2 linked regions of the Bombyx mori genome follow. The protein of the gene in region 1 binds, or shares a complex with, the protein of each later gene. Links are inferred from orthologs where the notes say so. Each region holds a gene or a part of one and is shown on either strand. Other genes may lie near its edges. The genes, in order: mediator of RNA polymerase II transcription subunit 24 and mediator of RNA polymerase II transcription subunit 20.

Region 1 (6,948 bases):
GTAGGTATTTATTTGTATTTAATCGTATGTAAGTCTATCTTATATTGTATTTATTTTTCACATGTGTATATAAGTAATGTAAGTTTATTATAATATAGCACCGTCCAGTTCGCTTATTCCTCTCCCTGCAAGGTTGCCTGGAAGAGATCGCTTTCAGCGATAAGGCCGCCAATTTATGTCACCAACTATTATTTGTTTTATTTGCTCACTCTGTACATATTATGTTAAATAAAGTGTTCTTATTATTATTATTACGTAATTTACGCAATTCATGGGTTGACAATATAATAGCTTGTTCGTTATGATCAGATACTCTTTATTCCGAAACTATTGGGAATCTTATTTCTTCGTCGTATCGATTATTCTAATAGAAGAGCATTTACAATTTTCGGCTTGATATATATACTCTTTGCAGTATACAGTGTACATTAAAAAAGCTGAATACACAACTTATCAGTGCCTAGTATAACTTAAAACGCATCCTACATTATATTAAAATGTTATTAAATATTATTTAATAAATTATTTGGAAAAACGATAGAAGTAGGATAATACGGGTGGAAGAACTATTTATTATGAGTGTTCCCATAATAAAACTGTAAAAATTGATACTGACTATATTTAAAACTAAAATAAAAGATTTTTTTTTAATAAATCAAAATAATTAATGTATTTCATTATATATATCTTAAAATAAATTATCTTATTAATTTATTACTATGATTTTTTATTTATTATTCTGGCCTTAACCTCATATTTCGTAAAAGGCATAGATCTCTCGCGGTGTCTTTTCTTCCGTAAGCAGTATTCAAATTATATAAGCGTAAAATCAGACCAATGTTAAAATTGTCAGGTAGAGCTTTAATTAAAGTTGGTACGAGTTCACTAGGCATTTTCTGTAATACTAACTGGGCCCTATCTTGGCCACATTGAACCACATAAATCAAGAACTGAAGTATAAAATGTGTTTGGGGTGTGATATTTCCGTCCTTGCCAGCTAGTTGTGAAAAGGACGCATACAGCGTTTCTAAAGCTGACAACAATGGTTCTTTTAATGATATTTCATATCCTTGTCCCTTACAATAATAAACACCACTTCCATCGGATGTATTGTCGTTGAGTTTCCGCATTTTACTAGACGACATCGCATCCAAATCCTCAACTTCGTCATGACGACGCTTCCTCGAAAAATGCGACTTTTTAGTGTTGCTGTAATCTAAGGCAGCATATATGCAATACACTGCTAGCTTGGCTAATACAGAAGACTGGGGTTCAACTAGCTCTTCAGACAACTTAGAATTATACAGGTATTGTGGTAGAACATGTAATAAAAGTGCTCCTGTGCACTTTTCTATGTCCAAATGGAACATCGCCAACACAATATCAACAGATCTATCGAGATCTACTTGGTACCGAAATTTTAATGTCTCTTTCACTAAGTTCGTCACAAACCATATTGGGCCAGTTGTGTTCAAAAGATTCTCAACGAGATGGGTAGCATCAATATGAAGGTATCCTCTAGACTTTATATTTTCCCAAATGCTTTGTAGTTGCTCTAATATTGGCTTGCGAGAGGTGATACTGTATGGCAACTGCTGCTCTTTTGATTTTGGCATTGAGGTAGGATGAATTTTAAACAGTAATTTTCTTATTATCTGACACATCAAAATTGCTCTTTCTTGAAAATTGTCTATTTGAGTTAATTCTAATTCAGTAGGTGATGTTAAAAATTGCTGAACCATATTCATGGGTTTTATTGATGCATCTTGATGGACAACATTGATGTATGAACAAAGCCATACTGATGCACACACTGCCAAGGAAGCCATTTTTTGTCTTATAGAATCCAACATTCTTTTAACATCTGTTGCCGAAAGTAGACCTTGTTCCCAAGCAAAAAGAACCTCTTTGACTGCACCAGTGATATTCATACAAAGATCATGAGGTTTGACATTAGTATTTTTGAAATCAAAGTCAGGAGCACTCAAATGGTGAATGATAACATCAACAACATGATCACATTTCTGAAGTATCTGATCTGAAGATTTATAATTTCCTTTATGTACCATACAATCCCTTACCCATTTCTCAAAAAATGAATCACCATTTTCTTCTAGAACAACATCAGCTCCATAATCTTGGACTATCCAACATAAAAGCAAAAATGAAATGTCAAATATATATACTTTTGATTGTGGTGCACCTTTTTCACTTGCAGCAAACAATGCAAATTCATTAAACTTAATGAGTCTTGACACAAACATTTTTAGTTTTCCTTCCACAGTTGCAACGGCCAGGATGGTATCCAATGTAGTTCGACCAACTATTTGGCATAGCATGATATAGAGCGACTCTTGAGTTTTGTGAAATTCACCACTCAATGCTTTTAAAATCTCTGCCAATGTAGGTTCAACACGAGTTATAAATAATGGGACTGAGCCTTGTAATCCTATTGGCTCAAATTTTTGTAAAGGATGATCAATAGTCTCACGTTTTTGTTTAAAATATGTCAAAGTATTATCTGACAGAACATTAAGTTTAACTAATGGCTCTATAAGTGAAATAACACTATTACAAGAATTCTTCGTATCAACAATATCCAGGAGTGGAGCTGATTGTAATAACATTTCAAAAGCTTCCACAACCTCAGTAGAATATTCACTTTCCTTATTTGTTGTCCCACACATATTATGGAGGTGATTTATCACTTGTGGAACTTTTAGAAAAGTGAATGCAGCCCACAATGATTGCTTCGATGCATCATTACTAGAATCATTTAGTGAAATGAAACAAGCTCTAATAAGTTCACAGTAGAGACGTGACAATGAATAGCCTTTTATTTTCTGAACCATTAGTAGTTGGCTGGAGATCTGTTGCATGCCTGCACTAGGGTTTGAGAACACATTTATAGCTATTAAAGCCTGCAGACAATAGGTTACAGCTTCTGGTTTATTGTTTAAGGGTGCTATTTTATCCAATTCCATATTGCAGATTTTGTGTAAAGTGACATGTATGGTCATCGGAGGTTTGAATTGAGTGTTCATCATCATAAATGCTGTTATCTCTTGACATTTCTTTGTCACTTCGTTATACTCATCAGGATCATTCTGCTTGGCCAAATAGAACATTGCAATCAGAAAATCTGTATTAACAATAGAGTTCAGTAAAACTGATGATTTCTCCAATAATTCCTGACTTTGAACAGAACTTGAAGCTGGATACTTGGTTAATGAATAGTGAAATACTTGTAAAAGCCACAATATTATAGATGATACAGCATAAGCTAAAACTTCTTCTTCTAACTTGCCTCTGCATGTAATACTCTCCAAAAAGGTTTCAAGGAACTCCAACAAGCTTATTATACAATGAGGTTTGTGAAAAGCATCAAATTTTGCGATTCGTTGTAACACAGCCGCGAAAGAGACCAAATGACACGCAAGTGAATGTTTCAAATACGATATCACTAACTGATTGGCCCCACAGCCTACCATGGCTTGTTGAAGAATACAATCAGCCAGATTATATAGGTCACCACTGACGCCCCTCGGCAGTATAGTTTTGATGTTGATGCCCCATTGAATATCAGTCCATCGTTCTTTCCAAGCTTTTAAAATTAAAGCTTTTAGTGAACTAGTTTTACTCGTTATTTTGGAAGCATCCATTTTTATTGTATTTTATTAGAGCACAATAATGTTTCTTTCTTACATTTCACACATTTTTGACGTGATATTAGTCGTTTAAACAACACTTTACTACTAGTCTTTGAGGTTACAAATTACATTTTCTTGTTCACTGTTGAATATTGAAATTAATTCGTTATATTTGTGTGGCATATTAAGTTTATCACATTTTTAAAGATATTTTATTTATAGCGAGCATTTGAGAATAAACATTACTTTATATGATCAAACTTGAATAATAATAGCCCAATCACAAAATAGACATTTTTTTTTTTTTTTTTTTTTTTTTTTTTTTTTTTTCTTTTTTAGCTTGCACTGTTTGTGCATTTAGCCACATACAAGGGTAAAGGTAGGGAAACAGGAGAAAAAGGAAAAAACGGATAATTAAAAAGAATGGATCAGGTAGGTATTTATATACATAATTACAATTTGATATTATGTTTCAGGATAAAATTTGAAATACATAAATAAATATCATAGTTCATAGTACACAGCAAAGTATTAATAGAAGTCGGGAGTGGAATACCAAGGGATGTTAATAAATCAATAAATGAGGAACAGTCATTTAAGGAGCACGCGAAAAAAATATGATTTAAATTGCCAACATCAGCGCCGCAATCACACATATTGTTATTGACTATACCCAATCTAGTCAAATGAGATGGAGTGCAAGCATGACCCAGTCTCATCCGGATTATGATAGTAGTCGTGATCTTATTAAATCTAAAATTGTAAAACCAAGGCTTGGTAGGAATGACAGATTGTATTTGGGCATAATTCTTTCCTTTATATTGACTAGAAATAGCCCATGTTTGTCCCCAAGATTCGCGCAGGTCTGAATTCGGAAGACACAAAAGATCATTTATGAAGATTTTGTATGGATAAATATCTCCACAATCCACAGCATCATTGGCAAGTTTATCAGCAAATTCATTGCCAGAAATACCCACGTGACTAGGAATCCAGGCAAAAATTACATCGAAACCTTTTAAATTACATTCCCACAGTAATTTTCTACAATCTACAATAACAGGGTAATTGGCGCAAGATTTGAAAGGAAATTTCTGAAGTGCCTGAAGCGCACTTTTGGAATCAGAAAAAATAACAGATTTATGTAATTTCATCAAATTAACATATTCTATAGCTTTAAATAATCCGTAGCATTCCCCAGTAAAAACAGAGCTTTCTGGTGGAAGTTTAATTTTTTGGACAATTTTTGATTGTTGATGATAAACTCCAACACCAACGAGACCAGAGGAAGAATTTTTAGATGCATCGCTATAAATGTAATGTCGATCTGACCACTCTCTATCTAAGATGATATTAAAATCGATATTGGCAGAAAAAATAGATCGAGATATATCTAAGGTAAAATGAATTTTAGGAACAAGAGTTAATGCTTCATATTCAGCAGAAAAAATAGAGAGACGATGAGACATGTGAGTGGGGGCAAGCAAAGAGGAAAATTTACGAAAACTCACGACTAAACAAGGTAGAGACTTGTGCCTCCAGTAGGGGGAAGATGAAACTAAATGTGATAAAGTAGATAATTTGGTATGAAGGGGATGCTTGGTAAATTGTAGAGCACGGAACAGAAACTTGTCACAAAGATATTGACGACGGAGTCGCAGAGGAGGGTCAACACACTCAACTTGTAAAGCATTGATAGGACTAGATTTCATTGCACCGGTTATTAAACGGAGAGCTTTTGATTGTATGCCATCAAGCTTATTTAGTCCGACTGCATTACATGGTTCAAGAAAGTAAGTACCATAATCTAAAATACTTCGTATGAGAGCGTTGTATAGGAGCTTTAGATTATATGGATGTCCACCCCACCAGACTCCAGTTAAACATCTCATAATATTCAAAACTCGTTCGCATCTAGCTATAACGTAATAACAATGTGATAAACCTGATAATTTGGCGTCTAGAATAACTCCTAAAAATTTTATTTCATTTTCAGATGGAATAAGTTCATTATCAAAATATACGGAAACAGGAGGAGGAAGCCGCATTCTAGAAAATAACACAATGCAACTTTTTGAAACAGAAAGATTAAGAGCGTTGGAGACAAGCCAAAATTTAAGTTTGGACAGTGCTCGACTTAAAAAGTCACTTAATTCTAAAACAGATCGCCCTGAAACGTATAAAACTAGATCATCTGCATATTGTAATATAGACACGTTATTAGAATCACCATTAGGTATTTGAATTGCTTTATCTAGGTCATGTGTGTAAATGTTATACAAAGTAGGGCTAATAACACATCCCTGGGGTAAGCCCTTCCATAAAGTTCTAGATTTATGGTTTGAATCGCCCGTATCCATAGTTATTACTCTACCAGACAAGTAATTAATAATAAAATTAGTAATCAAAAAGGGAACATTGAGCTTAAGGAGTTTTAGCTTTAATATGTGAAGATCGACGTTATCGTAAGCAGCATGTATATCTAAAAATGCTGCAAGTGTTGATTCATTATTACTAAAGGATAATCTAATATCAGTTGTAAATATTCCAAGACTATCCATAGTGCTCCGACCTTTCCTAAAGCCGTATTGGTTCGGAGCAAGAATATCATTAGATTCAAGAAACCATTCTAACCGATTTTTTATTAGATGTTCTGTTAATTTTGCGAGAACAGATGCGAGGGCTATTGGTCTATACGAGTTCGCATCAGAAGGAGGCTTATTCGGTTTTAAAATAGAGATTACTTCTTGTAATTTCCACGAAGTGGGGATATTGCCAGAAATCATAATGGAATTTATCAAACTTAAAAAGTAAAGAAGGCTAGAATCACTTAAGTGAGAGAAAAACGAATAGGGTATACCATCAGTGCCAGGGGCAGAATCTTTAACGTATGCTAAAACTCCTTTCAGCTCTGAAAGGCTAAAAGGAGAATCAAGACTAGTTAAGCTGTTGGTATTAATTACTGGGGAAAGAGTATGAGAGATAAAGAAATTCGGTACTAGCGGAGGGGCAATATTATCTAAGAAGTTGTCTGCTATATCATTAGGAAGAAAAGTTGCACCAGGTTCCTTAAAAGCTGATCGAAACCGGCGAATATTTTGCCAAACTACAGAGGGTGATACGTCAGGAGATAGAGACGCACAAAAGGTCTTCCACCCTTCCCATTTCTTTACTTTAAGAAGCTTTTTTGTTTCAGTCATTACACGAGATAATAAATCAAAGTTTTCAGAAGTAGAATTTTCTTTATATTTTTTTTCTGTTAGCTTTCTTTTTTTAATAGCTAATGAACACTCATTAT
Region 2 (6,927 bases), on another chromosome or scaffold:
GTGTGTCTCAATAATAAATACTTAGATAATTATGTTTTACCTTGACTACTGTAAGCGTATTGATTTTGAAGTACAATAGTACAAAAGCTTAAATAAATGTACTGGTGCAAGAAATCCGACAGTTTTTTAGCTATGTAATGTTAAGATTTTATATGAAAGAATAAGCAGACTCTTTTTATTATCATCAGTTATATTTTATTCACACGACACAATCTTATTAAGTAGAGAATGTATCCATGGTAGCGAGTCAACATTACTAGTGCGGCGACACGCAGCTAGTGCTATATCTCAACACTCCTCCTAAATGATAACTTGGTTTACAGTTATTATTTAATACACAACTATATCTAACTTAAACAAACAGTAAACTAACTAATTATGAATTAGCACAAGAACTTATCAATGCATTTATAAAACTTGTCTGTGCTCAAACTTTTAGTCATAACATCCGCTAAATTTTCATTGGTACAAATATGTTCTATGCTGATCACCTTATTGACAACCAAGTCTTTTATATAATGAAACCGTATATCAATGTGTTTTGTACGCTTAGAGTTCTCGTAATTCTTGGCCATTGATATTGTACTTTTGTTGTCAACAAATAGCACGGCCACAACCTAGGTGCTTACATATGCCTTTTAAATTAACAATTTCCTGTGCTAATGATGCGGCGGCTACATACTCGCTTTCGGCAGACGATAAAGTTACGCATTGTTGCTTCTTTGAAAACCAAGCAATGGGGTTTTGCCCTTGTAGGATAATACCACCGCTAACACTTTTTCTGTCGCTTCTATCTCCAACCCAATCGGCATCAGAAAATCCGTATACATTATTGTCATTTGTCTTTTTAAATAATAATCCTTTTTCTATTGTTTCTTTCAAATAACGTACTACTCTTTTTCCAGCTTTCCATAATTCTTCGTTCGGTTTATCTAAAAATCTGCTCAGATATGACACTGCAAATGTTAAATCCGGTCTTGTTGTTACAGTAAGATAAATTAAACTTCCTATTAATTCTCGATATGGTACGTCCAAAACTTCTGTATTGTCCTTTATTTCTATATTGTAATTTCTTTCCATGGGAGTTTTAATTCCGTTACATACATCCATTTTGAATTTAGTCAATATCTTTTCAATCATTTTAGTTTGTTTCAGTTCTAATGTATCTTTATTTCTTTTAACTTCCATTCCGAGAAAGTTCTTCATTTCACCCATATATTTTGCGTTAAACTCCTCCTTAAGTGCTTTAATAATATCTTCCCCGTTTCCAATGATTAGGTATCGTCCACGTAAATCAGCATCCAGCAATCTTCTTTGTAATACAAACAGTAATCATATTCTGATCTTTGGAATCCGTTAGCTTTCGCAAATTCGTCAAGTGTTTCATTCCAACATTTTGGTGATTCAATCAATCCATATAATGCTCTCTTTAGTTTTAATGCTGTATTATTATTTTTTATTTCTAATCCTTGGGGTATTTTGATAAATACATCAGACTTCAATTTTCCATTTAGGAATGCAGTGGGAATGTCTAGTTGAATAATCTTTAAATCATCTTGTACAGCTTTTGATAAGATCATTCTTATGGTAGAATGTCTAGCAACGGGTGCATAAACGCTGTCAAAAATATCTTTTTTCTTTTGTTGGAAGCCTCTAGCTACCAGTCTTGCCTTTTTTGTTCCATCTTCTTTTAGTTTAAATATCCATTTTGTATCAATGAGCTTTCTTCCATCGGTTATTTCTTGTTCTTCCCACGTTTCTAGTCTTTGGAGTGCATCTAGTTCTTTATTGATTGCGTTTTTCCATTCTGGTTCTTTTATAGCTTCTTCGAAAGTTTCTGGTGCATTTGCACTCAGACATATAACAATATTAGTTTCATTTATGTTTTCTATATTCGTCTCGTAATCTTTAAGATAAGCAGGAGGATTTATCGTTCTTTTGGGTCTGATTATTGCTTCTTCAATTTGATCAGTGTTCATTTCTGCATCTTTAAATTCATCTTCCTGTTCTACAATATCTTGCTTTTCTTTATTGATTTCTTCTTCTTTGTCTTGAATATATCTAACTTGTTTCACTTCTTCTTTGTTTTTGAATTTAATGTCGCTTTCATCAAATCTTACATCTCTGGAAATAACTATTTTATCTTCTTCTGGATCCCATAATCTGTAACCAACAGTTCCATAACCTACCATTCTTGTTTCTTTTGCTCTCTTGGCAAACTTGTCCGGTTTGGGTACTATAGTAGCCCAAGCTTTGGAACCAAATACTCTCAATCTCGATATGTCGTTTTTACCAAAAAATATTCCGCTGGGTGTCTTGAAGCTTATGGCCCATGATGGCGATCTGTTTAATTGGTAAACTGCACATTGTATTGCTTCGCACCACAGATGTTTTGGCAAATTGGTTTCCGCTAATAGAGTCCTCGTTTTGTCGCATAATGTGCGGTTCATTCGTTCTGATATGCCATTAAGTTGTGGCGTGTACGGTAATGTGTATTCTAAACTAATACCTCTATTTATGCAAAAAAGTTTCAAACTGTTAGCAGTGTACTCTCCACCATTATCGCATCTAATTCTTTTAACTTTATTCCCCGTTTCGTTTTCAATTCTTAATACATAGTTCATCAGTCGTTCTGTTGCTTCAGATTTGCTCTTCAGGGGATACACTACGCAAAAATGAGAGAAATCGTCAATAATTTTCATAAAATATTTTTCACCATTAGGTCCTTGATGTCTGATCGGTCCTGCTATGTCTGTGTGAAGCATCTCGGCTGTCATTTTTGTTCTAGGCTTTGGGATAGGCGTGAACGGGCTTCGGGTGGCTTTGCCCTCCATACAAGGACTGCAAATTCTATTAGATACAGGTAAGTTTAGTATATTAAGGCTTTTCCTATTTAAGTGACCTAAACGTTTGTGCCATAGATCTGTCGCATCAGTAATATTACAGACTTCGGACTTACATAATTCGGCTTGTAGCTTATACAACTTTCCTTGCACGATGCCGCGTAAAAATGTCTTTTTATTAAATATTTTAACATTGTATTTATTAAAGTTTATGTTAAAACCTGCCTCGACAATCTTTTTTACTGATAATAAATTGTATGAAACATCTTTCACAATTAGAGCATCAATATTAATCGTAGTATTTTGATATTTTACTTTAAGTTTACCTCTTTTACTAGTTGTAATACATTGGCCGTTAGCTACGAATATTTTGACATGTTTATCTAAATACGTAATATCCGTCATATAATTTTCATATTTTTCATTTATTAAATGCTCCGTACATCCTGAGTCTATAATTAGTTCTATGTTACCACATTCACCCACATTAGCAATAATATCGCTAGCAATGAAACCTATTTCTTTATTTTCTGTGCCTGCTGCTGAAGCATGTTGATACGTTGTATGTCGTGAACTTGAATTTCCTCTAAATGAGCGTCCACACGATCTTGGATAGCTCCGTCCTCGTGTCAATGACTGTCCTCTACTCGGCGCTTGTCCTCGTCCTGATCGGCATTCGAATGATTTGTGTCCACGTTTTCCGCAGGAGTGGCACGTGATGAAGGCATTATTCTCATAACCTTCACTATTTCTGTCCATTTTTAACTTTGTCTCCATATCGAGTAGTCTTGCTTTAACAAATTCTATGTTCAGTTGTTTCTCGGAACCCATAGTCTCAATTGATGTAATTAATTGATCGTATATCTTTGGTAAAGAAGACAGCAGATAGCAAATTTGGTCTTCTACTTCGACGCTTACGTTGATTGCCGCTAATTCGCTAAGAATTCCTTCAAATTTTAGGAAAAATTGCTGTAAGTTGCTTTCATCATCATAGCACATTGTTATGAGTTTCCGTTTTAAATAAAATTTATTACAGACTGTTTTTCGTTCAAATATGGCCTCCAATGACGTTAGCATTTCTTTTGTCGTATTCGCATTTTTTACGATGTAAATATATTTGTCGCTCAGACATTGTACCAAAATTGATTTTGCTCGTGAGTCATCCTGATCCGTCGGTTTCTCTTTTAAGAATACATTGCTTAATTACTTTTCTTCCAGCAGTAATTTCAATCTAAATTTCCAATGACTAAAATTTGAATTTTCAGTCAAAATCGGCAGAAGAGACCTCGCAGTTGTCATCTTTCTTTTTTATAATTTTCGCCGATATTATTTCTAGTGGATCGCAACCCAATATATTTTTATTTACTTACTGCACACGCGGTCTGCTACCATGTTAAGATTTTATATGAAAGAATAAGCAGACTCTTTTTATTATCATCAGTTATATTTTATTCACACGACACAATCTTATTAAGTAGAGAATGTATCCATGGTAGCGAGTCAACATTACTAGTGCGGCGACACGCAGCTAGTGCTATATCTCAACATGTAAGATAAGGACTCAGTCGATACTGTTAGTAGTTTCTCGGGTTCTTTTAAAATTATCTTTGAATTCTCACCAAATTCTAACTATTTTAACTAGAGATTCTTTTATTTCATCTCATCCAAAAACTATGGTGTTGTCTGTTATCATTGCCTTTAATCTTGTCCCATTAGGTACTAATATTATAAAGAGGAAAGATTTGTTTGTTTGTTTGTTTCGAATAGACTCCGAAACTACTGGACCAATTTGAAAAATTCTTTTTCCATTAGAAGCCGACATTGTCCCTGATGAACATAGGCTAATTTTTTTTAATTTTTTTTATTTTATTTTTTTGGTTTCATGTGTGTTTTAATGTTTCCGAAGCGAAGCGAGGGCGGGTCGCTAGTTAGGTATAATTTCTAATAGATAATGTAGATTTTCCCACCGTCTAGTATCCGAACTTCTTAAAAACAGTCTGTCAAGTGTATTGGGATCCAAGCGGTTCCGCTCATCACTTGCGTTATTGCAGGCAATTGAAGCGCTCTCACAAGGTAAAGATGATGCCTCAATACTCATATACATCATGGCTCTGTTAGCACATCCCACTTCTCCTGGATGAGCCTTTGCTCGCCCACATGTCCTGGTGAAACTGGAAAGGCCTCTGGCCCACCAGTGATCCCTCATTCATAAAAGAAAAACATGGCTATTGAGTGGACGTAGTGTTAGATGGTTTTTTTTCTTCTTTTCTTGCCAGTGAAGTATGTGGTCATACTTCAGGTACACAACTGCCTGCAAATAAATAGTGTTCAATTTCTTCGTCTAAGCCTTCATTTCTCAGTGCAATAAATGTAAAAAGTTGCTTTTTCATCAGCAATTTATGAAAATCCCAAATTACTTCTTCCGTATCAGTTCGATTCCGTCGACTTCTTCACTATTATTTTGTGGAAGTTGTTCTTGTGATTTACTATCTAAAATTGAAGTATTTATTCTATTTATTGCTTGATAACAGGCTAATTGTAAATAAATTACTGGTTTTTACCAAAACCGAAAAAATCAACATCGATATTCAAGGGTCAAATATCGATGCAGTGAATCGATTCAGATTCGATTAATCGATCTCAGATAGGCACCCCTGTCTATTACTAATATTAAATTGCAAGCCCTCTGCCTGCCCACTGCCATAGCGACTAAAATAATTTAATAATCTGTGCTTTGTATACAAACAATCTATAATGGGGGTAACAGTGTAAGTGTGCAAATTTAATAAATAGAACGTTATTATTGTGTGGTATTCCTATAATTACATTCATAAAAATATACCGCGATGTATAATACTAATACTAATAAAAGTAATAACTCTATGTAAAGGTAGAAAGTAAACTTCTTGACTTCATACGTTATCTCAAATTCTTCTTTAACCTTATCCGGTGTATGAAAACTATCCCCGAATAAAAATACATGTTAGTGTAGCTTATTTTTGACACAGTTTGGCCAGACTGAAGGAAGAGTATCATTAAAAATAATAACGAAACAAATCTATTTATTATGTTTTTGATACAACTACAAAATCTACCATAAAAAAATCGTGAAGAGTGGATTATATTTAATAAACTGTTTCAATTATTAACTTGACAGCTTACAGCAATATCCAGTGCCAGAGAACAAGACCGGAACATATGTAGTGGAGTTACTTACAAAGCGTATCTTAGCATTAGGGGCGACACAACAAGGACAGTTCCTGGTTGATTGCGAGAGTTATTTATCACATCCACTCATGGGTACGTGTTTACTGAATCCAAGCTAAAAGTAAAAAGAAAGACACATTCCACTTAGCGATTTATAGAGAAATCACACAGCCCATCGCCAATACATGGATATGACATATTTGAAAATATTTCAGACATTACAAAGGTGTCAGCTAGTTTATTGTACTTAAAGTCCTCGTGGCCTATGTGGCCCGAAGGTGGGTACCAATTTTCGAATGAAATACGTACTTAACAAATATTCACGATTGACTTCCACAGTGAAGGAATAACATCGTGTAATAAAAATCGAACCCGCAAAGTTATAATTTGTGTAATTGCTGGCGGTAGGACGTCTTGTGAGTCCTCACGGTTACCACCATCACACCTATTTCTGCTGTGAAGCAGTAATGCTTTTTGGTTTAAAGGGTGGGGCAGCCGTTGTAACTATACTGAGACCTTAGAACTTATATCTCAAGGTGGGTGGGGCATTTATGTTGTAGATATCTATGAGCTCCAGTAACCACCATCCATCCACTTAACATCAGGTGGGATGAGAGCTCCCATCTAAGCAATAAAAAATAAAATGCAAGGAATTTATAAAAACCAAAGCTAATCGTGTACTTGATAGTTGAATTGAAAAGTTGATGAGATGCTGATACCAATATTTATTATCTTTTCATCAAATTCAGCCAGACCACTTAACGGTTACCATTACTTGCATACGCTTGTGGAAATTAACAATACGAAACACACTTACCTAAAGTTTTGTCTAATGCTGCTTTTAAAATTTCTGACAGCAAAAACGTAACTCAAATAT

What was found.
Region 2: mediator of RNA polymerase II transcription subunit 24 (region 1) and mediator of RNA polymerase II transcription subunit 20 share a complex: the UniProt entries of both Drosophila melanogaster proteins name them as parts of the mediator complex. The link is inferred for Bombyx mori from reciprocal best matches to the Drosophila melanogaster genes MED24 and MED20.

Annotation. Positions count from the first base shown.
Region 1 is NC_085113.1:5,800,469-5,807,416, forward strand, and holds mediator of RNA polymerase II transcription subunit 24, read right to left. Parts: upstream 4,389-6,948; 5' UTR 3,663-4,388; coding exon 735-3,662; 3' UTR 300-734; downstream 1-299. UniProt on the Drosophila melanogaster protein: Component of the Mediator complex, a coactivator involved in the regulated transcription of nearly all RNA polymerase II-dependent genes.
Region 2 is NC_085134.1:1,811,207-1,818,133, reverse strand, and holds the start of mediator of RNA polymerase II transcription subunit 20, read left to right. Parts: upstream 1-2,693; 5' UTR 2,694-2,729; coding exon 2,730-2,863; intron 2,864-5,460; exon of another isoform or gene 5,461-5,597; coding exon of another isoform or gene 5,598-5,611; intron 5,612-6,000; coding exon 6,001-6,143; intron 6,144-6,927. UniProt on the Drosophila melanogaster protein: Component of the Mediator complex, a coactivator involved in the regulated transcription of nearly all RNA polymerase II-dependent genes.